4 linked regions of the Drosophila melanogaster genome follow. The protein of the gene in region 3 purifies or fractionates together with the protein of the main gene of each other region. This does not show direct contact. Each region holds a gene or a part of one and is shown on either strand. Other genes may lie near its edges.

Evidence for each region.
Region 1: the proteins of cathD (region 3) and Droj2 purify together in Drosophila melanogaster (affinity purification with mass spectrometry, with the first as the bait; one large-scale study listed by BioGRID). This does not show direct contact.
Region 2: the proteins of cathD (region 3) and Mcad purify together in Drosophila melanogaster (affinity purification with mass spectrometry, with the first as the bait; one large-scale study listed by BioGRID). This does not show direct contact.
Region 4: the proteins of cathD (region 3) and Cyp12d1-p purify together in Drosophila melanogaster (affinity purification with mass spectrometry, with the first as the bait; one large-scale study listed by BioGRID). This does not show direct contact.

What each region holds. Positions count from the first base shown.
Region 1 is NT_033777.3:13,380,101-13,386,446, reverse strand, and holds Droj2 (DnaJ-like-2), read right to left. Parts: upstream 4,342-6,346; 5' UTR 4,303-4,341; exon of another isoform or gene 4,244-4,302; 5' UTR 4,189-4,243; intron 3,626-4,188; exon of another isoform or gene 3,335-3,625; intron 3,183-3,334; exon of another isoform or gene 2,984-3,182; 5' UTR 2,969-2,983; coding exon 1,868-2,968; intron 1,778-1,867; coding exon 1,667-1,777; 3' UTR 1,164-1,666; downstream 1-1,163. Other genes in the region: CG9799 (uncharacterized protein), read left to right, coding at 1-737; mRpS21 (mitochondrial ribosomal protein S21), read left to right, coding at 4,738-4,884, 4,944-5,060; CG8870 (uncharacterized protein), read right to left, coding at 5,104-5,551, 5,629-6,178, 6,235-6,307.
Region 2 is NT_037436.4:7,717,267-7,722,416, reverse strand, and holds Mcad (Medium-chain acyl-CoA dehydrogenase), read right to left. Parts: upstream 3,068-5,150; 5' UTR 2,978-3,067; coding exon 2,960-2,977; intron 2,519-2,959; exon of another isoform or gene 2,358-2,518; coding exon 2,001-2,357; exon of another isoform or gene 1,941-2,000; coding exon 1,056-1,940; 3' UTR 945-1,055; downstream 1-944. Other genes in the region: CG7457 (uncharacterized protein), read left to right, coding at 1-519.
Region 3 is NT_033778.4:7,820,054-7,825,873, forward strand, and holds the start of cathD (cathepsin D), read right to left. Parts: upstream 3,517-5,820; 5' UTR 3,414-3,516; coding exon 2,496-3,413; intron 2,433-2,495; coding exon 2,172-2,432; 3' UTR 2,058-2,171; intron 1-2,057. Other genes in the region: CG30383 (uncharacterized protein), read right to left, coding at 4,073-4,405, 4,639-5,070; phr (photorepair), read left to right, coding at 5,451-5,492, 5,547-5,820.
Region 4 is NT_033778.4:11,116,273-11,123,983, forward strand, and holds Cyp12d1-p (cytochrome P450 12d1 proximal), read right to left. Parts: upstream 5,613-7,711; 5' UTR 5,577-5,612; coding exon 5,475-5,576; intron 5,415-5,474; coding exon 5,089-5,414; intron 5,035-5,088; coding exon 4,918-5,034; intron 4,854-4,917; coding exon 3,833-4,853; 3' UTR 953-3,832; downstream 1-952. Other genes in the region: Cyp12d1-d (cytochrome P450 12d1 distal), read right to left, coding at 7,599-7,711.

The sequences.
Region 1 (6,346 bases), on a different chromosome or scaffold from region 3:
CCACGAATGTGTGCGATGCCATGGAACTGGAAGATGGCATGAAGGAGCTAGAGATCGACGAAGAGGACGAGTCAAAACTCGGCGAGCTAGTTGACACCAAGTACGAAACTCCAACGCAGCTGTCCGAGGAACTGATAACGCTATCCGGGTTGGCTGCATCCCGTTGGCAGAATCTATTGGATTTGGAGCTAATCAAGCAACGTAACAAGCCCAAGGCACCACCAAAAGCTCCCAAACAGGCCCCATTCTTCCTGCCCACGGTTTCGGGACTGGAACTGCGCTTCGATGTGGAGAACGGTCAGAAGGAGGAGGATGAATCCCGGATTCGGAAGGCTTCTACTCTCAACAATCTTACTGCCTTTGGCCAGCTGCTGGAGGAAACTGCTGACTCCCTGGACTTCGCATCGGCTGTGGCGCACTTGACCCAACTAGGACCATCGATGGTTGACTTTGAGATCAAATCTCTGCACCCGGAGGCTGGAGGAACACTCCTTGCCATGCTGCAGTTCCTCAAACTCGTTAAGTTCATGTTTGGAACCAATCTGAACTTTGAGCTGGCTCAATCGTATCTAAGCGTCTTCTTGCGATCCCACGGTCTCGGGTTGACGGAGTTCCCGGATTTGGTAAAGGAGCTGCGCACTGTGTCCCAGGTGCAGCAGGAGGCTTGGCAGCGTGTGGAGGAGAAGCTCATCTATGGAACTGGAGTTGTGGCCGCTCTCCGAAACTTTGCGCACTAGTTTCCACCAGATTATGTTGTAGTTCATTTTGAAATTTTGTAAATAAATTTACAAAACATTTTACATTTTGAATTTGCTTTTGATGTTATTCCTTGCGACAGGCAGGTCCGCAGATTCATTTATAGGATGCTTTATAATCCTCAACAACTACAAAATCCCTCATTATATCCTTAACGATTTAATGGCATTACCATATATATCCCAAACTATCCTTATCTTTCTTTTTATCTTTTACTTATCCCAGATAGCATTTTAAATAATGTACTCAAGACGAAACTACTGCCATATGCCTGATATCTCCAATTGGCATTATTCGAATGATTCACACCTGCGGGTGACTATGCAGCGATTATGGAATCAATAGATAGCCGGAGGAAGGCAAGTGATACTGGAACTATGGGAAGAAGAATATACAGCATTTGGGTTGAAATTGTGTATTAATTATTTATTTGTTATATCCGTTTAAACTAACGCTTTTATTTATGCTGGAATTAAATAACTTAAACTTGTTCCTAGACGTGTTCGCTGGCGCGGACTTTAGATACGGTTCTAGTGGCGGCTAATTTCAATTTCAGTTTAGTTTAGTTTCAGTTTCCGTTTTCGATTCTTTGACAATCCAACGCAACATAAACATAAAGAAAAATGTTGGTTTACAAACAACCACGCGTTATAGACATAGTGCATATATCTGATAAGTTTCTTTGATTTATACCTAAATATCGTAGCTTGCATGAAATAACTTTAGATCTCTCGATTGGTTGGGCCTCCTAGTGTGAATTGGATGGTGTTTTAAGGTGCTTTTGGGAGTTCTTCGGCACTTGCAAGCGCAATTACAGTGTTCCGGGAGCTGGTTTACATATTATTACGGCTTGTTGGTTGGGGTATTATTAGGGCTGTGTGTCCGGGGATGCAACACGCAGCGGGGGCGCTTAACTCGATGTGCACTGCTGGACGCGTGGGCCATCCTGATAGCCGCCATCGTCCTCATCGTAGGCCATGCGCTGGTGTTGCTGGCGACGTTGCTTGGGATCAAAGTCCTCCTGCGAAAGATAAGCAAATCGATAAATAAATTAATTATAAATAATATATTATTTATATATCGTGATATAAACTACTACTGAAATACTCACCAAAACCGTCTGCTCTGCATCGATTGGAATGTCAACCTCCGGCGCCGGGGGTAGGCACTGTTTAAGCGTGGGCACCACCGACGGATTGATCACCTCCGGGAAGATCACCTCGAACTGGATGATCAACGTGCCCTTCTCCATGGGGTTCTTGAAAATGGGCATACCCTCCTCGGCAATACACTTGGTCATCTCATGCCTGATAACCTCGCCGGGCTGTGTGGACACAATCAGATCGCGATCATCGAGCGTTTTAACGATTCGCTGGAATCCGCAGAGCGCTTCGACAAGTTGCAACGGCATCTTCATCATTAAATCCTGTCCGGCGTGCGCGAATGTGGAGTGCTCCTTCTCGTCCAAAAGAATAATAATATCGCCCGGCTGAGATTCCGGCTCATGATCGCCCTCTCCCGTGAACACGATCTTCTGGCCATCCCGCATTCCCTTCTCAATGTGCACTTCCAATACCTTGCGTTCCCGCACCGTTTTGCGGCCACTGCAGTTCTTGCAGCGGTCCTTCTCCTGAATGGTCTCGCCAGTTCCCGAACACTTGCGGCACACCTGCTCGATGTGCTGCATGATGCCGGGGGCGATCTGCTGAACCCGTGTCTCCACACCGTTACCACGGCACTGCAAGCACTTCTCAATGCTGCCCTTCTTGCCGCCGCGACCCTCGCACTTGTCGCAGATCACATTCTTCTGGAGCTGCAGCTTGCGGGTCGCTCCATTGTACAGCTCCTCCAGCTGTACGGACATCTGGTGCACCACGTCCTTGCCACGCCTCTCGCGCCTGCGTCCACCGCCACTACCTCCGAATCCAGCGCCAAAGAACTTCTCAAAGAAGTCCATAGGATTGCGGAAGTCACCGGAATCTGCGCCGCCCTTCTTGATGGCCGCCTCGCCGCCTTCGTCGTACACCTGTCGCTTGTCCGCATCGGACAGCACTTCGTAAGCCTGCGAAATGGCCTTGAATTTCTCGCCCTCGTTGGGGTTCTTGTCCGGATGGTACTTGAGGGCCAGCTTGCGGTAAGCCTTCTTCAGCTCGTCGGGCGTGGCATTAGGCTTCACGCCAAGTATATCATAATATCCAGTCTCCTTAACCATTTTGTTTGCTGTTTACTGTGAACAGACGAAGTAGTGCGTAATTACTATCTGGGAGCTTGTAAATAACAGATTGGGGAACAGATTTGTGTATGCTCCAGGCATATATAGGTAGAAATTATGAAGTTGTGTAATACCGAAAATTTTTGAAGTTTCAACCGATTTGGATGCCAGTTCTTATAAAAAATGAAAAAAAAAAATTTATTTTGTGGTGCTGTTTCTATGGCAGCTAGGTTCCCGATGGAAGTTATTGTCAGTTTTATATCTAATGACATTTCATAGTTCAAAGGGCTGATTCCTCTCTAACTAGTATTGTAAACAAAAATCAGTAACCTATATTTTGTTACCCATTTTTTTTTGTAGAAATACATTTTTCAAAATCCAGAAACCACTCGATCATATGACCCTTTCTTGTTTATTGATTTCTACAGCTGTGACTTGATGCCATCACCCATTTTTTTCCGTGTAATTTGGGGGGCAACGGAAAATAGTAGGCATTGCCGGAAGCTAGAGCCCGGGATTCAAGGTCGTTACGCCGCCATGTGTTCGCGAAAATAACTGCGACGTTTTCTAGTCGATTTTCTAGAACAATTGTCGTATTTCAATACGGCGAGCAGCTGACGCTCTCTTTCCCCCTTTCGACAACAACCGCTTCTCTTTCGCACGCACACATACACACAGTTTCTAGAAGTTTTCGTCAGCGCATTGCAGCCCTGGTTTTGCGAACGGCGACTGCAAAGCGGAGAGGGTAATAATGAAAAAACCGTAAAAGAACGAAAAGGGGAACAAATGAAAGGAGAAAGGGCAGAGTCGAAAATAAGAATGGAAATGAATTCTAGAAGCAGCCTTCGATTTAGCAGGCAAATCAATAGATACAATTATTATATTTTCACCAGTGCCTAGCACACACATGCACCAGACTTTGCGCTTGTATGCGTACCAACATGTGCCGCGCAAGACGCTGCGTCAGAAGAATTCGATTGAACAAAGAAGAGAAAAAAAGCTAGATGGCCATCGATTTTGCAAATCTAATGCCAAAAATCGAAGGCAAATTCTCTGACAAAAAACAATTATCGATGATTACTTAACGACAGAGATGAGAAAACCAAGCGCAAAGGAAGTGTCTACCAAGTAGACACACACATTGGCAAACCGCACAATGCGAGACGAAATGTGCAAAATCAGGTGGTAATCTTAATTAGCCCAGAGCCGCCCCAGCTCACCTTTTTTCGTGTCGTGTCGTGCCTAAAGCAAATAGTAACTTTCGCAGCCCGATTCCTGGAAGTTTCACTTTTACAACAAATTTAATTTACGTCGAATACTTTTCAACAGCTTACTATGGCCGCCACGCTAGGAAGAAAACTGGAAACCAGTGTGACCAGAGCGGCAAACGGCAAGAAAAACCACAACATCAGGGTTGCCTCGCACCGCAAAGGTCCGAAAACTGGTATTTTAGTCATTTTCAGGTGATTAGCAATTTTTGATAATTTGATGGGATATAATATGTATTTCTTAAGTGTGATGGGCATTACAGAAATAATTTTGGCAATGCATTAATAAATACTGTGTTGAATAAATATTTTTCTTATTTATTAAGTTGAGTGGTTCTCAAAGTACTCCTTCTGAGTCCACGATTCTTATTAGCAATCGTTAGCCCTGGTTAGTGATATTCATCAGCTGTTTAGCAGTACAGTAAATGGTCACACTGTTTTGAAAGCCGATTATTTAATAAACATTTGGAAAACTTTATAAAATAAAACTACTTATCCGAAATGAGACACGTGCAGTTTCTGGCCCGCACCGTTCTGGTGCAAAACAATAATGTGGAGGAGGCGTGTCGTCTGTTAAATCGCGTCTTGGGAAAAGAAGAACTGCTCGACCAATTTCGCCGCACGCGATTCTACGAAAAGCCGTATCAGGTTCGACTTTAAATAACTTAACTATTTATTATTATTTACTGTATTAAACTATTGTATAGGTTCGTCGTCGCATCAACTTCGAGAAATGCAAGGCCATTTACAACGAGGACATGAACCGAAAAATTCAGTTCGTACTGCGCAAAAATCGCGCCGAACCTTTTCCTGGATGCAGTTAAACTAGTTTTTGAGGCAATAAAATGTAGGAATTAAATAAATTGCTTATTTTCTAGTACGAGATTTGCTGTCGCTGTCGATAAATGGACTTTGCAATTTCGATTTTATCCATTCAAAAAAGTATGAAGTTTTTGTGTAAAATGCTGGCTTGCAAGTTTTAAGTACGCAGGGCTTCTGTCCGTAGGAGATTATGCCGGCTGCATAAGTGAGTGTGACCTTTCCACGTATCACGGTCTCCATTAAGGGTCCCCCGGAATCGCCGGGACTGGTGTCATTCCCATCCAGACCACCAGCACATATCTGACTGCCCAAATTAAAGTCATAATTTGATTTGCACACATCTGGATGCCGTTCCGCGATGAAGCTGCGCAAGAGTACCTCACTTGCAATTCCTTGTCCCATGTCTGGCCAGCCGGATGCTTGAAACTTTCGCTTATGCGCGGCCAATTTTTGGGCTCTTGGAAGGCAAATAGGTTGGATGGCTCTCGTATAGCTATAGGAAGATATAAAGATATATTATTTCAATTCATATCCTACTTCTATTTCGACCAGAGGAGAATCATTACTCACCGCACAGGAAACTTAAGACGCACGAGTGCTATGTCGTTTATCAGCCGCCTTCCCCGGTTGAATTGTTCATGCGTAATAATTTGGTCCACTTCAATTTCCATATAAAGAGGAGCGTACTGTCTTCTTCCATTCACAATAGCCCGATCGGGATTTGTGGACGTGTTATGTTCGCCCAGTCTCACTGTTTTGAGGGCATACGGATAGTCCATAAATGGATACTCCACGCAGTGCGCTGCGGTCAGGACGTACCAGTTGTTTATTAGGGATCCACCACATTTTGGTACCAGCTTCTGGGACAAATTGTTTTTATTTCCATATAACAGCATGGCCATCCAGGGAAACTCATTCAGCGCCGGTATTTTGCCCTTCGTAGGTTTTCTTCTTGATTGTCCACAAGTATCGTGTGGCAGATACGTTTCCCACTTGGGGCAGCACACTTTATTAGTGCCGCATCTTCTAAGACCTATTATATTTTTCCTGGATGAGTTCATAACTGCTCTGGTCCTGGGACACTTATCCAGATTCACGCATTCCGTATCAAATTGACACCCTGAAGGAAGGATAGATTTTAAATTGCGTACAAAGTTTATGCATGCTGAAAGTTACCTGCACCATTTGAATAAGGCACAAGAATTATTTGCAGCATAAGCAAAAATGATCCTATAAGTCCGAACAACATGTTGATCCACGAATATTTCACATACAACTGTTCAAGACT
Region 2 (5,150 bases), on a different chromosome or scaffold from region 3:
GTGCGCTGGCCCCTCGACGATGCAAGTGGATTTGCGTTGAGTGAGCGCCTGGTTACGCTTTTCGAAGGTGGTACCTGCGAGCGATTTGTCGGAGTGCAGCTCGCTGGCTGCGGCTTGAACGATGCGCATATGTACAATATCAGCCAGCATTTGGCCAAAGCCAAACAACTACAGATGTTGGATATCAGTGATAATAGCAATTTAAGTGGAACTACTCTTGGATACATATTAGATGAACTACCTCAATTACGCGATCTTTTGGCCGTTAATTGTACAAATCTACTGGATGACATTCGTCTGCAAAAACTCGAACAACTAAAGCAGCTGCCCAGGCGCTTAGAATTAACAGTTGATGAGCAGGTGTTCTCCATGCCAGGAGCCCTGGAAACACTTCAGTCCATTTGGCAGCTGCAATTTGGAGACAAGGCCAAAATGTTGACCACATCAAATAGCCGGAAAATTGGAAGGCGGTACAAAGGTCTACTTAAGCTACTCGCTGATGGAAGCGATGCGGAATAGTGTAGTCTCATCATGTGTAAACCATTTCCTTGTGTTGTATGTCCCAGAGCATTTTTTATTGTTTGACAATTATATAGCAAATCTAAGTACAGTAAGTCTTATCGTTCAGTTGATAGCAGAACAGCGATTCGTTGAACCTAAGTAGAACAAACACTCAGCCCCCACAGGGCTTATCTTATCAATGGATGATAGCTAGCGAAATAATTTGCGATGGTCTAGACTCTACAATTTTGGGGGTAAGTGAGGGCAAGATTAGAGAAACTTGAAATATTAAGAATTAGTAAACATACTAACGCACTGACTGTTTGCTTACTTCTTCCTTCCTTTTATACACTTGAGGAATAAGTAATTCCTTAGAAATTACCAAGTGCCATTTATACAACATTTCCCTCAACAGACAAATCACAATCAATGATTTATATTTTCTTGTAATTATTTACTTATTGTACTTTATTAATCGGATTTGTGAATGTGTCTACAATGAGCATGACAACTGATGAGGTGAATGGAGATGAGGAATCCTAGTTAAAACTGACTTAGGCTTGACCCTTAGCAGCCTCGTACATGTTTCGGGAAATGATGAGGCGCTGGATCTGAGAAGTACCTTCGTAGATTTGGTAGATCTTGGCATCACGCATCAGCTTCTCCACGGGATACTCGCTGTTGAAGCCGTTGCCTCCAAAGATCTGGACGGCATCGGAGGCAATCTTGTTGGCCATATCGGCGGCATGGCACTTGGCAATGGAGGCATAGTAGCTGTTGCGGCGTCCCTGGTCGATTTCCCAGGCGGAGAGACGCCACGCCAGACGGGATGTCTCCACACCGATGGCCATATCAGCCAGCATGAACTGCACAGCCTGGTGGTAAGCGATGGGCACGCCAAAGGTCTTGCGTTCCAGCGCGTATTTAAGAGCCTCATCCAAGCAACGCTGGGCCAAACCCACAGCTCCGGCAGCAACTGGAGGACGCGTCTTATCAAAGGTGCCCATGGCAATTTTGAAACCGGCACCCTCGCCAATCAGCACATTTTCCTTGGGCACGCGCACATCCTCGAAGGTGATGCCACGCGTGTCGGAGGCGCGCTGTCCCATGTTCAACTCCTTGCGGCCGGGCGTTAGTCCGGGACTGTCGCGCTCCACAATGAACCCGGTGAAGGCCTTGCTGGGCGGGCACTTGGGATCCGGATTGGTGCGGGCCAGCACAAAGTACCAGTTCGCCACACCACCGTTGGTGATCCACATCTTCTGGCCGTTGATTACCCACTCATCACCCTTCTTCTCGGCGCGTGTCTTGATGCCGGACACATCGGATCCTGCTCCGGGCTCTGTAACACAATAGGCGGCGACAAGTGGCTCCTCCAGCAGGCGGCCCAGGTACTTTTTCTTCTGTTCCTTGTTACCGGACAGGATCACAGGAGTTTGCTATGAAAGAACGTGGCGTTTCGATCATCTTGCCGTAAATAGACATGACTTTAAACTTACGCCCAGACCACTAGCCTCTAAGGCGGTCATGATGCCAGTGCAGCCATAGGCCAACTCCTCGGCCGACAAGCAGGTGGTGAACACATCGAGATCCAGGCCACCAATATCAGCAGGAATGTGGTTGTTCATCAGGCCCAGTTCCCAGGCCTTCTTGATGATGGGCCACGGGTACTCGCCGCTCTTGTCGTACTGGGCGGCCACCGGGATGATCTCCTCACGGGTGAACTTACGTGCCAGTTCCTGCAGCTGCAGCTGATCCTCGGTGAGTGCGAAAGAGGTGCCATTGGGCGAAACGTGTGACACGGCGGCGTAGGCGCGACTTTGGGACACCAACTGGCGCAGGGCAGGCGCAGCAAGCTGGATTTTCGGATATTGGATATCGGATTTAAAGTCAACTGGTAAACAAGTGTTTATCGAAATGCAAAATGAAAATGTAGAAATAATCAGAACAACAACAAAGTTGACCGCGAATTAATCTTAACTACAAGCAACAAATAAAATGGGCCAACTACGTATGTATTTAATTAATACAACATCATGATCATAGACGAAGGTTTTTTTTATATTTACAAGGGACTTTGGATGTTTGAGGTTCATAACCAACCATCACATTCTATTTTTTTCATAAAACAGATAACGAATATGCCTGCCCATAAAGTTTGCATTCCGATTTAAATAGAGTGCACGATAAGCCGCCATTAGACGCCGCTAATAATACTTTCTCAGGGGGGGCAAAGTACAGATGATTGCTAACAGATAGGCAGCAACAAATTGTTTTCGAAACGGAACCCACTCGAATATATGTTTGTTGGTAGGTACATATGTATATGTATGTATGATCCTACGATCAACAGTTGCTGTCGTCACTAGCGTGATAGAACTTTGGACCTTTGGATATGATATGTCCCAGCGATGTGTTTTTCACTTTCTCTGCGTTGTAAATTGACTGATATGCTCACCTTGTTGAGGAACGCCATTTGAATGTGGGTTTATTTTCGTATTTTCCTGAGTTTTAACTAGGTCGCCTTGCTAACTCGTCGGTGGCTGCCAGCGAAATGATCCAAACGAGTTGCCGATGCGCCGGTATAGCGATGTTATATATGTACATACATATGTACATTGGTTCATCGCGATATGGCAGCGACGCTTGGACATTGGACCTTGTTGCGCTGGCAGTCGCAAAAGCTACAGAATCGTGGTGACGAACGAACTACAAGCATATGCACCTACAAATATATGCAGGAGGTTGAGATAAGGGAAGATTTCGCAGACATTTGTATGCGCTGTTGATGGAACTTTCCCAAAGCTTTTCGAAGAGTTAACAAATTTGTTTGTACCTCGCCTTAATTGTAATATAATGCTTATATAAATAAATTGTATTGTAAAATATTTTTAAAATACCAACTGTACATTTCATCCAGGTTTTGTCAAGTACATAGGCATATGTGTATGAAGAGACACACCCCCTTTTTTAAGATATCAATGTACCACACGAAATACCCTACGAAATAAGCTTAATAAAACATAGCTTTAACGTAATGCCCAGCAATCTACGTAAGGTAAAAGCTTTCAGTTCACAACGTAACGTATTGCTTCTGGGCAATAGGTATAAAATAATACAATCGGGTATATTAGGCTTGAAAATGTTCGTCGGCAGAGGTCATTGAGGGATAATTCATATTAAATAGTAATATACTATATTTTGGTTAGTTTAGAATAAAATGTAGAGACAATTAGATAATTATAGGTTTCATTCGCTTTAACTTTTTAACCCCATTTTTCCATATTCAAAACATTTAAAACATGATTTGATATGTTAAATAATAAAATAAGAACCAACAGGATAGTCCCTAGTCGTTAGACTTCGCTGCCACCTGTTAGGTGCTTAACAATCGGAGCATACTTTCCCGCTTGACACAAATAGACGGAACATGTTCCTCTGGCTGTTTTAAAAATAACAGATTGCAGCCCCGCCTCCCAGCGACAAAAAAATCTCCAGCGAAACGAATTGGAAATCCGTGACACAGTTGACAGGCAGATATAAAAAACAGAGCACTACGTGGCGCGGCACGAAGACATCATTAAATCAGCATCCGCAGCCATCCAAAGTCGTAATCAGCCGTTGAAGCGAGTGGTATCTCTTATCAGCCAGGCCAGGCGCATAAAACTGGGTCCGGTTAAAGCTCTTCCGCCACGACGAGGACGAACGCGCACAGCCGAGCTGGAGCCGAAGTGGTTCGGGTGGTGCGATGGCGGGTGGCGAGTCCTGTGGCGTCTAAGGCCCAACTGGGATAGCTGCTCCTAGTCAGTCATTTGACATTGCTCCTGCGAGAAGGTTGTCCACGGTCCGAGCCCAAATCCTCCGTCGCCCACAACTCGTCCGCAAGCCAGCCGTAGTGTGTGTTTTTTTGTGCTACCCACTCCCACTTTTGGGATACATATAAAAGTGCCACCCCCGCCTTCCCAAAAAAAAAAACCGCCTCATAGAGGAGTGAAATTTTAAACAAGTGTTACCTAAGCCCAAACCTCAAAGAAACCACAACAAAAAGGGAGCAGTAGTTGAAGGTTGCGGCAAAATGGCCCAGTTTGTGACCCACATCCAGCCAACGCTGATGGAGGCGTCCCAAGGTCATGTTCCTCACCACCACGGACATCAGGTGGGTGTGCAGCACTCGTCGCATCTGCCCCACAGCGGCCACAACATGCCCTCGCCGCCAACCCACAATCACCATCATGCCCACGGACATGGTCATCATACCAGCAGCGGTGGTCATCATGGAGGAGCAGGTGGCCATTCACAGAAGCAGGCAGCGCATCATAGCACCACCTCCGGCCACGCCGCCAAGGGACAGCACCACAGCCCACCGTCGAGGATCCATTCACCGCCAACGGAACACCATCCGGATCATGTCGGTCACTACGAGTACTTCCAGCATCAGCACGAGCAGATCTTCCACCATGAAGGAGCAAACGGTGGTGCCAGCCACAAGCAACAGACCCACCACCATCCCAACAAGCACGAGCACTGCCCCACAGGACACCAGAGTGCGGTGAGTTGTCCTGCCTAGGATTACATCATTGGATTGGGATCTGGGGAATGGGTTGGTTCCCTTTAATACAGATGGTCACGTGATCAGAACTCCAGGGGAC
Region 3 (5,820 bases):
AGCCGCTACCTTTGTTTCTAACTGCTTGGTTTGTCAAAAAGCCAAATACGACCGCCATCCGCAAAAGCAAATCCTCGGGAGAACACCTATTCCGTCACATGTAGGCGAGACATTGCATATTGATATATTTTCTACGGACAGGAATTACTTTTTGACATGTATTGACAAATTTTCCAAATTCGCTATTGTGCAACCAATCGGCTCTCGAACGATAACTGATTTAGAACCTGCAATTATGCAACTAATGAACTTTTTTCCCCATTCAAAGACAATATTTTGTGACAATGAACCGTCCATAAATTCCGAGTCAATCAAGTCACTTTTGAAAAATCGTTTTAATGTTGACATAGCGAACGCACCTCCACTTCATAGTACCTCAAACGGACAGGTTGAAAGGTTTCACAGCACGCTTTTAGAAATAGCTCGATGCCTGAAACTTGACAGTGGAATGAATGATACAGTCAACCTTATTCTTCAGGCAACAATAGAATACAATAAGACGGTGCACTCAGTCACCAATAGAAGACCGATCGACATTATTCATTCAACTCCTCCCGAATTGGCTAACGAGATAGTAGAAATGGTTAACGAAGCTCAGGAAAAACAGCTAAGAAGAGAAAATGTAACAAGACGAGACAGAACCTTTGAGGTGGGAGAAACCGTCATGGTAAAACAAAACAATCGCTTGGGAAATAAACTAACCCCACGGTATAGGGAAGAACTAATCGAAGCAGACCTCGGGACAACGGTCCTCATAAAAGGGAGGGTCGTTCATAAAGATAATCTACGCTAGGTTTAGTATTTCTTTTCCTTTTGTGACCATCGCCAAGTTAGCAAAATACAAACGTGAAATCTGAACACTAGTAAAAGAGTTTGCAAACATTTTTCAATTAAATATTTGTCAAATCCTTCTTATTTAATCTTTAAACATTTTGTATTATTTCCGCTTCATCCTCTTTAGAAAATTTTAAAGGTATGTGATGAAATGCTAGACCCGAATGATTTGAAAACTTAAAGTCCACGCAACCACAAATATTTCCTGAAACTACCATAGAAAATAAATGCATTACCAAAACGGCATAATAACAGTATAGCGCACTCACTCTAATTAGATTTCAAATTCCCGATTAAAAAAAAATAAAACACTAATGTTATCAATACCCTTTCCTGATTCTGTTCAACTAAATAGGAAAATCAATACTTGCAATCAATAAGCGTTTTACTACATACTTTAATATCAAAAATATCTGAATGAACTTTATTATAAAATTATAATTGTTATACTTAATTATTGTCAAAACTTTAGTATTAAAACTGTAACTACCTCTTAAGTAGATGAGAAGAGTAGAAGAGGGAATTAAGATCTATCAACGTAGTATCTGCTAAAGACGTAAAGATGCGGCAACTATTTCTGCGCCTGGGTACTGAAACGACGAACTGAATAATATCTGCCATCAGACGCCAACCAGAGTGCGTTCAACACATACGTTTTGATGGTCAACTAGTTCAACCAACATCAGCATCATCGTCGTCAACAAGTCGACGGTTACAATAAAGATTTTTTCCAAGTTCGCTACGATCATCTCCAGAACCTTGTTGCGAACCCATGACATGGAGAATCAGCAGCATTTACGAACTTCTCGGATCATCCAGACACGCAGAGCTGCCTTCCCTTCGATGGTTTAACGCAGTACCAGGTTGGCAGTATGGGAACTTAGTGCACAACCAATGTTACCCGTAAGATCCGCTTTCAAATAGATTTGCCAATTGTAAAAAGTCTGTGGACAGCCTTCGTCTTAGAAGGGGAGGAGTTAACACAATCACAAAACACCCGAAATATAGTCGTAAGCCTCAAGTGCTTTTCCCATCTATAGATCGAGCTTTACCTATAAGAAACTGTAACTTGTTAAGCTTTAGAGATAAGAACTCTTGCTATACTTAAGTTAGTCGATTTTGGAAGATTAGAAGCGTCGGTCATCGCCACGTACTTACTATTCGTCTCATTAAGTGCAGACCGCGCAAGCCCTATTGTAATTAATAAACTTACGCTAATAAATATATGGAAAATCTACTAAAATGATAATTTATATATTATTCTTCGGAGAAACCCGCAATGGGATCGATCGATAATGTTTACAATTTAAATTTTAAGTATACTTTTCTTTGTTCGATTATTTGGCATCGGCGAAGCCCACACGATCGTTGCCCATGTCAAACTCGGTGTAGTATTTGCCAATGAAAACGTCACCGAGGATCCACAAGGGTCCGTTTGGAGGGGGGATGTCCAAGCCCATAAAGCCGGACAGACAGATGGTCTTACCCATCTGGGCCACACGGAGAATATAGTCCTTGCCCTCGAGCTCGAAGGTCTTTCCGCCCAGCACAAACTTGATTACCGGCAATTGGGGAATGAGATCGCAAGAAACCACATACTAAAGTAAGAAATTAAGAGGATTAGCAGTGCTTCATGTGAGAACTTAGAGCATGGTACTCACCTGACCACCGATGATGGGAGTTCCACCAATCTTCTGGTTAATAGAGGTGGCCTCTTCCAAGGGCGCAGCAATTAGTGAGGTACCGGTGTCAGCGATCACCTGGCAACCGCCCTTGCACAGCTGCAAATCGCCAATGGAGGCGGCATCCATCTTGATTTGCCAGTAGGCCTTGCGGGTAACGGGCAAGTAGGTGAATTCACCAGTGTAGTGGTTGGGATCGGAGCCGCCAAAGATGATCTCACCGCCCTCGGGCGAGGCGGGATCGCGATTCAGGTAGAATGAGAACACCGGAGCGGAGATCAAACCCTGTTCGTACATGGCGTAAAATGGCGGCTTCACCTTGTCCACCGAGATGGAGTTGTAGCCCAGGCCTAGGATGCCGTCGAACTTGGCAGCTACGAAGACCAGGCCCGGCTCACTGAGCGCCTCAGCGAATGTCTGATCCTTGATGTCCAGGCCGGCAATGGACACCGTATCCGTGGACAGGTATCCGGACAAGCTGCCCGAGCCATACTGGATGGCGAACTCAGTGCCGTTCTTGGTGTAGGTCTTCGACTTGGAGGCATCGTACTTGTTGTGCATCAAACAGGCGATGTTGGTCAGGTGGCACTTCTTGGACGGCACCCACAAGTTCGAGGAGCCGGTGTCGAAAACCACACGGAAGTTCTGCGGTGGCGAGCCAATGGCAATGGGCCCATAGTACTGCGCGTCCATATAGTTGGACAGCGGTTCCGGCACATCACCTCCGCCGTACCTAATGCGCAATTGCTGCAGCTCCGTGCCCACATCCGCAAAGTGCCGGCGGGCCGACTGAAATTTGTGGAGCGGTACGCGCAGCAATCCGGGCTTCTCCTGCGAATTTGGGTGGGCCACGGCCGCAGCCAGGAAGGCGACTAGAAGCAGTGCAACCTTCTGCATTTTGATTTCTATGTTACGCTTCTCTGGTGGCTAAAACTGCAATGATCGCTGCAGTTAATTAAATATTGCGGCACAGCGAAAATGATTCAGCACAGATAATGTACTAAATTTGGCTTGGCGCGTCGTTTTGATTAGAGAGATTCGATAGTTTTTGTTGTAAACTAATGCAATTCTTTAATTTTCGGAATGTTTCTTTTTAATATTTCGCGTTTATGTATATATAATACAAATGTATCATTATTTCTACACATTTAGGAAGAGCTTGTATCATGACTACGATCTTACTTTAGAGACAATAAGGGAAAGCTAAAAAAGTATTTCCCATCTTTCATTTTTAAACGCTTTTATGAGCAAACAATTAACAATTATGATGAGCAACCTTAATGTATTAATTGATAATATAGATAACAATCGTAAGGAGCGGGTCGAAGCTGAATTTCGAATCTTTACTTGTATATATAAATTCTAATAAATTCATGATAACATGGAATTATATATTAAAATATGAATAGTAAGTTGTATTTTGAGCTTAAATGGTTCAAAAATATTACAAAAATAGTCTTCTTATAGTCACCTAAAATCCAGAGAAATAATTTTATACTATTGATTAAAATGAAATAAAAGTATTAAATATAGATAAAAGATATAGCTAATCCTTTCTAGTACTTTTTACAATCACTTATTACTCGACAAAGTTTGGATTTGACCTTAGCACAGACATCCAAATCGGAGATTAGGTCATCAATGTTCGTTCGGAACGGAGTAACTCTAGCAGTATCCTCGAATGACTGTTTGGCGCGCCGCATTCTTTCGTGAATCTCACTCATATCGAGCATCTTTCCAATAGAAAGCTCATGGTTGGTGGACAACAGTACCGAGAACAGAACGGCGGACTCCATGGAGACTTTGCTTCGATACCCAACGCAGGTTTTCTGCTCCATTTCATCGCTTTCCATGAGCACGGTTTGGCATCTTTTCAGGGAATCGCCTTTCTATAAAAATCGAGCAAAAATTAATATCATACTATTGGATTAAGAGAGTAAGAGATATAAGATTATAATGTGATGTGTAAGTGCCCGGATAACTGCATAAGGATAGATTAAATTAAATTAAAAAAAGGGTACTTATTGTTTATTAACGAAAGCAATTTTAAGTAAATACATTCATATTTATGCATGTACATAGTAAATTGGCATCAAAATTATTCGCCGACAGATATGCTTACCTTAATCTTCTTGATATCTTCAGGTTGGATAAAATGTTTCTGGCGCTGGACTACAAATCGAGCTGCAAGGTCACAATCCGGAGTGTACTGGTAGCCTTGGGCAACGCGCCTGAAGAATGGATGCAGATCCAGAAGCTTAAGGCGTTTTTGGGCCATCTCCGAAAGCTGATAGGTGTCCAGTTGGGGCAGAACTTCGGTTAGGAATAAATGGCACACTTCCTTGGCAGTGAGATCCCTGAAAGCCTCGTTCCTGGTGTTCCACTCCTTCCAGGCTGAAGCATCCTGGATGTAAAACAGACGGCACGACGCAACAGCGTAGTCGATCAACTCCCTGTGGATCGATTGTTCAGCATCGTGCAAAAGCGTAGATCGAGCAATACGGCCGATATTGGCATTAAATTCCGCTTCGTCCACAGTTTCGTCCATTTTCATTCCCAATATAAAACATTTTATTATAAAACAGTAAAGAATCGGTTTAATTTCAACGTGCGCTTTCAGATCTGCACTCTTTTTGTAATCGATAACTGCTGTGTATCGTATGCGGCACTGAGACTATTGAAATCTTAGGGAATGTTTAGGAAATAGGAACATCTGGAGTTAAATGTATTTCAAAACCGAAAGCCACAACTTTCCTTAAAATATTATGCCAAAAAAAAATCTACTAATATAAATTTAAACATAATACTTAATTCTTTATTTATGTTAATTCATAATAATTTCTCTTCCAAGGGAAGTGTATTTGGAGTGCGGCTACTAGCATAATTTTCACTCTCATTGAACAGCTGATAGAGTCGCCATATCGTTATACAGTTATGTTTACACTTGCTTCATATTGGCGCGAATCATTCAAGATTGTGGGTTAAATCGAATTAGTAAAAATCAAATCACGATTTTTCATTCATGTTCAGGTTCTTCCGCTGCAGGCGATGAAGCGTACGAAGGCGCAGAAGGCAGGTCCTTCCAAAAAGGCAGCAAAAAACGAGAAGGCCAGCTCCGAGCCCAAAAGTGACCAGGAAAGCAGCGATGAGGAGGCCTCCACATCGAAGGCTTTGTTGGTTTCTAAGCCGGATTACCAAAACTTCGAGCAGTTTCTTACCCACTTGGAACACCAGCGAGTCTGCACGGCAGCCAACATACAGGAGTTCTCTTTTCGAAAGAAACGAGTGCGCGTTCTGTCCAAAA
Region 4 (7,711 bases), 3.3 Mb from region 3:
TGCGTTTGCGTATGCGTGTGTGTGTGTGTGTGTGTGTGCGTTTTAGCCGACAAAGTGCAACACACAGCGCAATGACCGACGTACTCGAGCGTTGACTCGTTTCTGCGACAACTTTTCTCGCTCCTCGCCGATGGGAATAATGATCTCAGCGTAATGACGATTTTTAGCAGCCAGTAAGCTTGTTGATGCTGTGCCGATGACGTTGCGAACTCGCTCTCTCCGGGCCGCTCGCTCTCTCTTTCCCACACTCTCTCGGCCATTTTGCGGAAGTTTCAACTCACCGCAAAACGCTCCAAAATGAGCAGCCAAATTGCGAGTTCCTTCCTTAATTGCGCACTCGTATCGTTCATTTGTATTTGTATTCCCTCCCATCAGCATTTTCTCTTCGGCCATATAACAGTTTTCTCTTATACTTTCGCTTCGGTTTATAGCACGCACATTCCCGGTGACGTCACAAGGCTTTCCCAACGCTTTTTCCATAGAATCAGTTGTTGTTTGGGCTGCACAAGCCGGCAATGTAAACAAAACATAAAATATATGAATGGGTGAGTGAGTTGTGCGGGTGTCTGGGTTATTCGACTGCTTCGGCTGAGTGGGTGGCTGTTTTGGGTGGAAATTGGGTGACCCCGATGCACTGGTGTTGGTGCAAATTCGGCAATGCGTGTGCGCTGCGCCTGATGAATGAAAAGTTCGAGTGGCCGCGTGGAAAGCGGGAAAACATCTGAGCGTCAGCTGCACGGTCATATGTTTGATATTATTCCTGTGAAAGCGGAAAATGATTTTGAATATTAAAGGAAATCGATGCGGAAAATGTTTTGGAGTATTTAATAGCCATTAAATGGATAACGTAGATTTTGTCACAGGTTTATAAAATGTAGTTATAGGTAATATATTCACTAAAACAGAAACTGCCTTACACACTTTTAGTATATTGTTTTATTTACTTAAATTACCTAAGTAAATAAAAGTATTTTCAAATTGTTACAAAAAGCACACCCTTTTTTCTATTTTTGTTAATATTTGAATGCCCCACCAATCGATTGAATTTGAAGCCAATTCGTGATTCGGAAAGCGCAGAGTGTCCTGTATTAAATTCAGCCTTGCAGACAAATGCAAAAACCATCGACAGGCCGTGTCAGAAAACACACGAAAATCGAGTGAGCCCCAGAGCAATCGCATTTTAATTTGAATTCTTTCTGGTGAGGCCCTTACAAAAGCCCCCATGCGATGTGCACGACCAAAAAATGAACTTAAGTTTCGGCCAAGAATCTTGTTGAAGAATTTCTATTTGAGCATTTGTCATGTCTTCGCCTTAGTCTATAAAATATACTGTCGGTGGATGGGGACGCGGGGTGTGTGCAAATATGCGAAAGCTAAATGTCAGAGTCAACCCTTTCGCAGGCCATTCTGCCTGCTTTTTTTTCAGCCTTTTCTGGCCGGTGTTGCCGCCTTGGCCCCTTTTTTGGGTGGAAAGGAAAGTTTTTATCTTAAGCTGCGCGCTGACAGGCAGCAAAGCGGCAAGCGAGGCAACACAAGTACAAGCCGGACAAAGAAGCCAGGGGGAGTGGGGATGGGCTGGCCGAACGGAAAATGGGAAATGGAAAATGGACGGGCAACGACAAGGCGGGCAAACGTCAAGTTATAGAAAATGCTAGTGCCTGCACAATAAGAAAAGTGTCATCCGAATTGCTAATCAATGGAATGATGTTGAGGAGACTCAAAAGAAATTTAAAGACCTACTAATAAGAAAAAACTGAAAAATCATTAAGTTTTTAAACTATTCAAACATATTTAAATAATAATTTGTGCAAATTTATTATTGCTTAAAACAACTAAATAAAAATATATAATGTCATTCAAAGTTTCAAAAAAAATTTATTCAATTAAACAAAGGCCATTTTGTATCTTTTCAAAAGTATATGACTTAAAAATAGGTTCATTCATTTTGCTTATGCAAGCTAAGGACTCAGCTTTTTGTCAAAGTGCAGAAAAGGGGAATGAAACTGGTCTTAGAGGGAGAAAAAATTAAAGGACATGCTGAACGCATTCCTTGGGACACGGGCTGACAGTGAGTGATTTGACCATACCCTCATTTGCGTGCAGCAAGGACCAAGATCCGAGCTCTGGGTTCCGGGTTCCGGGGTTCCGACTACCGAGATCCAGGCACACCAATGGATTAATGTGCAAGGATGCGACTCGTCAGGCAGGCCAAGAAAATTACGTCAAGCTACGCAATGGGCCCGTGCCTTTCCCACTGCCCCCCACCACCCCACAACCTAACCAAATCCAACCCAGCCCAGCACAACCCAAACCATTATCCTTTTGGAAATCTGATGATGAGCGCCGACTGCTGCGGGCGGGCGACTCAAAATGGGAGTGACTCATTTACGCGCTGCACTCGAGTTTCAACCGGCAGCCGGCGAAGGAAAAGCGGGACTCCGAGAACTTTTCCAAGCTATTTCTGCGCCCAAATGACAGCGAAATGTAATAATGAAAAACTTTTTCTTTGTCAACTTGATGAGTATGAAATTTTTCACAAAAAAAAAAAAAGAAAAAAGATTAAATAAAATAAAAGACGAGCGGCAAAGGAACGGGTTGAGCTTGGGTGGCAGGGCGGTGAGCTAGAAATATGAAACGTCAGGACTGGTCCTTAGTCTTAGGTTGGCCTTAGTCTTGGTTGGCCTTCGAGATTAGTTATGGCAAAGGAATTTCCAAGCGAAGGCGCACGCAAATGATTGCATGCCGCATTACGCATACGCCCGGTTGTGCGTGGCCGGTTTTAAAATTGAATTTTAATATACAGCAGACACAAAGAGATGTACATGACCATATGTATATGTATATAGCTGATCCCTGGCCATGGCTGCTATAAGCCAGGTTATCCAGCCACCCCGAAAAAACACATGTTCTGCATTTTTACTTTGTACTGGACCAGGACCCACGGTCCATCATCCCTACCATTTTGCTGCTGCACCGCATCGGGGATTGCGGAATTCATAAGCTATGTGCGTTTGCTACAAAAGTGGAATTTTCGCCACGCCAAAGGATACCCGCTTGCAGGCTCCCAGCTCACAGTTCCCACTTCCCGTTTCCTAGATCCTGAGCATGCCATTAACCCACTCGCAAAAAGCGCAAAATCGCTTAAATTATTGTTACAAGCTGCCAGTGCCAAGTGGCAGGCACAGCAACAGCAAAAACAAGAACAAGACCAGGGGGGCAGGTGGCAGGTGGCAGGTGGCACAGGGCAAACCACCTGAGCTTTTGGCCGCGCTTTGCTTTGAGTGCCAGTTAGCATAACTCCGCAGGCCGCAGGCGAATATGTCTGTTGTTGCTGCTTTTGCCGCTTTGCTACTCTCCTGATGTTGGGTGCTGCTCCTGATTTTGCTGTTGCCGTTAGAAGTATTTGTGGCGCGGCAAAGGACATCCTCTCGGCAGCCCGTTCTCACCTGCCTGCCAAGCTGCAAGCTCCAGCTGAAAGTGTCTTTGGTGAGCGCTACCCACCACCTAAATATACAAAGTGTGGGGGAAAAACAAGAAAAATAACAACCTACAATAGTCTCTTCTTTGTTACCTAAAAATATAAGAAAAGCACACCTCGCAATTGTGTTGAAAAAAACAAATTGATACGAAAAAAAGCGATAGGGATGCCACAACAAAGCGCAATCTTATCAAACGTATTAAACATTTTGCTTATCAAAACAGCGAGGTTTGCACAACAATGCGAAATAGGAGGAGGCAAAATTCTTATCTGCATTTCATCAGTCAAACATTTACTGTAATCAAAAATCGCAACTATAAGGAACACAAGTAAAGGCCACAAATGAGAAGCAAATTATTGTTCGATATCCGTGAATTTGAAGGGGAACGTAATGGCCGGTTCCATGACGAACATGGTCTTGAATGGACGGCTGGCATCCCGATTGAACTCCACATGGAAATTGCGAATCAACTTGGCCACTGTGGTCTCCATTTCCAGATCCACCACCCGTTTGCCAATGCACATGCGGGGTCCAAAGCCAAAGGGAAGGAACGTGAAGGGGCTGACCTGCATCTTCTTTCCGGTCTCCGGATCCCTTAACCAGCGCTCCGGCAGAAATTCATCTGGTCGTGGATAATATGTAGCTTCCTTCATCAGCACATTTGAGCCGAGCAGGACAGTCGTTCCCTTGGGCACCCGGTAACCCGAAAGTATCACATCATTTTGGCAGGTTCTCATGGTTCCCAAGCCATTGGGATAGTATCGCAGTGTCTCCTTGATCACAGCCCTCAAATATGGCATATCCTTCATGTTCTCCTCGTTGAGTAGGGAATCCTTTGTGGGCATGATGCTCAAGAGCTCCTCCCGCAGTTTGGCCTGCTTATCCGGATGCTTTGAGAGGCAGAGTAAAACAGCCGACAGAAGCGTGGCTGTGGCATCCACACCAGCGAATAGGATGTCCAGACTCATAATCACCGCCACCTTGGGATCGATCTCCATTAATCTCTCCAGCATACTGTTACTATTTATTTTTTCGCCAGCCTGGCGGCGCTTTTCCAGTGCATCCTGATTTTCCTTCAGCATTTTCTGGGCCACATTCAAACTGTCATTGAGAGTTCGCTTCATTTTCCTGTAGGTGGGCGTCGATATGATCTTCCACATGGAGGGCTGAATGTCTAGCTTAAATGTGAGACGGAAAATATCCCTCGAGGTCTGGAAGAGGGTCAATGCATCGGAATTATCGCGGTTTTTTCTAATCAGACCCATTTGCCGATCGAAAGCCACCAGGCCGAGTGACTCGAAAACAAGCCGGCTTATTTCATCCGTAAAATCTTCGGGGACTTCTAGAGTTTTTGGATCGCGGATTTCCTTAATGCTGCACAGTAAAATGGAATTTATTGCTATATATAAATAACAATTCAATAACAAAAATTTCTTACCGCTCTATAAACTCATTATTGATATTAGACAATGGTTCATAATACATTCTCAAGCCCCTGGGTTGCATAAAGATGGGATTAATGGCTGATCGTAGTTTTCCCCATGCCTCATTTTGTCTGAAATATTCAAATTCAATTGTTTCCTTGCTACTTATTAGATTTTATACTCACGAAGCCACCAATCCTTGAACCTCACCGTAAACATCTGGTCGAACGTGTTCGCGGAAATATACAATGGAATCCAGGCCATCACGACGTGGCCAGATACCCTCGTTGCGGAATACCATCTCAATGTCCTTTGTGTTGAAAGTGGTGACCCAATCCTTGCGGCCAAACATTCCGGGCATTACATAGATATCTCCATAGCGCTTTCGCATGGCACTGGTGTATTCCGTAATCGATGCATTTTGGAATTCACCACCGGGCATGAAAGCCCTCATAAATTTGAATTTGTTGGGCCGCGGAATCTCATCGTAGGTCTTGTGCTCCTCCGTTATCTATAATTGGAAACTAATAACATGATAAATCTATTTCGACTGGATTTTGTGCATACTAACACTAGATTTAGCTTGTTCATGTGCCAAAACGGAGGCTGATCTTGAAGATCGAACGGGACCCACGTAAATCGCCACAGATCGCGCACTGCTCAATGTATTCATTCTATTCCTTTTGGTGATCAACTGCAACTAAAAACAGTTCCACTTTCGAGAACGTTCTTATACCAAAGGCTTATCTCTAAAACGTAGAAAAGAGAGGAGAGCGAATAACTTGAAATGCTTCAAAATGCAAAAATCTCAAACAAAAACAAAAGCCAGCAAACAAAGCATGAGTTTCATTTTCTTATCAGCTGAACGGTATAATCGCCGTGAATTGCCTACCTCACTCAACTGAAAAAATAAACAAATGAACGTGACTGGCTAGAAAAACAAATTGAGAGCGTTGGAACTTACAATAAATACACCTCAGAGAATTTGATACTACTATTACGACTATTACATACCCGTTACTCATTTAGTGGGATCGCTAGAAAAAAATCTAAAATATTTAAATATTTTTTAAAAATTTATAAGGATTCTAGTTCAACGGTAGACAATTTCAAGATAAATAACCAAATTAAAGAAAAATAAAAACAATTCTTAGAGTTGATCCTTGTTCTCTTTGCATACTGATATTTTATTTATTTTTTATTTTATTTATTTACTGGCGCCGCTTTTCCACAGAGTCCTCGGTGTCCTTTATCATTTTCTGTGAGAACATTAAGATGTCATCGAGAAGACGCATCATCATCCGAAAGTTTGGAGTGGAGATAAATCTCCACATTGATGGCTGTATATTCAATTGAAAGGCATATCTGAACATCGTGCTTCGTGTTTTGGAACACAGTCAATGCATCTGGATCGTCTCGATTTCGACTGATCAAACCCATTGGGCGATCGAAAGCCACCAAGCCAAGGGATTCGAAAACCAGGCGGCATCTCCAGAGTTCTAGCATCTCGAATTTCTTTAATGTTGGAGAAAAAGTAAAACTCAGGTGGACATCGAAATATACAAGTATGAATTAATTCTTAGCGCTCAATGAACTAGTTGTTGAACTCATAATAAGTTTTCAATCCTTTGGGTTGCATAAAAATTGAATTGACGGCTGATCGCATCTTGCCCCACAACGCTGCTTGCCTTAAATTATAGTTTCCAAATTAACTTCCGCTTTTGATATACATATGTAATTATTTGGTAACTTACGCGAATATCAGACCCACACTTTCTCCATAAATGGAAATATGTGATCGAGGGAAAGAAATCCTTTTCCGGCCAAGTTCCCTCACTGCGGAAAACAGTCTCGATATTCTTTGTACTAAATGTGGTGACTCAATCCTTGCGACCAAACATTCCAGGCATTATGAAGATATCACCATAACAACTTCTCATCGCTGCTGCATAATCCAAAATTGAGGCATCGTGAAATTCTCCACCCGGCATAAATGCCCTTGCAAATTCCTGTTTTCTGGGAAGTGGAATGTTCTTATAGGATCTCGCTTCAGTGACTACACTATCGGCTACCTTAATATCCAGATCACATATGTATGTTAGTGGAATACCCGATTGTGGTGATAGTATTTCAACTCACATTGGCCAAAATCTGTGCCTGACTAGAAGATGCCCTCACAAGCTGAATGGATTGCGCATTCTGCGCAATACTCATAGTTAATTTTATTAACTGCTTGCCTAAAATGACAACTGAGCTGGGAAGCCTGCCAAAATGCTTATATAGCATCGCATCCCAAGAGGAATAACAAAACGATTCTCTACAAATTGAAAAGCTGCAATCCAGCATGACTCCTAAGAATTCCCACCATCACAGTGATAGAAAGCGAAATTATTGCCGTAAGTCAAGAAAGCTTGATACTGCTAAAAAAATATCAACCGCTCATATTCAATATAAGTATGTTATTGTTCAGACATAGGCTTATATGCTCAGTAGAAGATATGTTTTATTTTGATTTCTGTCGGAATGCCTTTTAGTAACATCCTTTAGTAACATCTCTTTAAACAGCGAGGTTTGCACAACAATGCGAAATAGGAGGAGGCAAAATTCTTATCTGCATTTCATCAGTCAAACATTTACTGTAATCAAAAATCGCAACTATAAGGAACACAAGTAAAGGCCACAAATGAGAAGCAAATTATTGTTCGATATCCGTGAATTTGAAGGGGAACGTAATGGCCGGTTCCATGAGGAACATGGTCTTGAATGGACGGCTGGCATCCCGATTGAACTCCACATGGAAATTGCGAA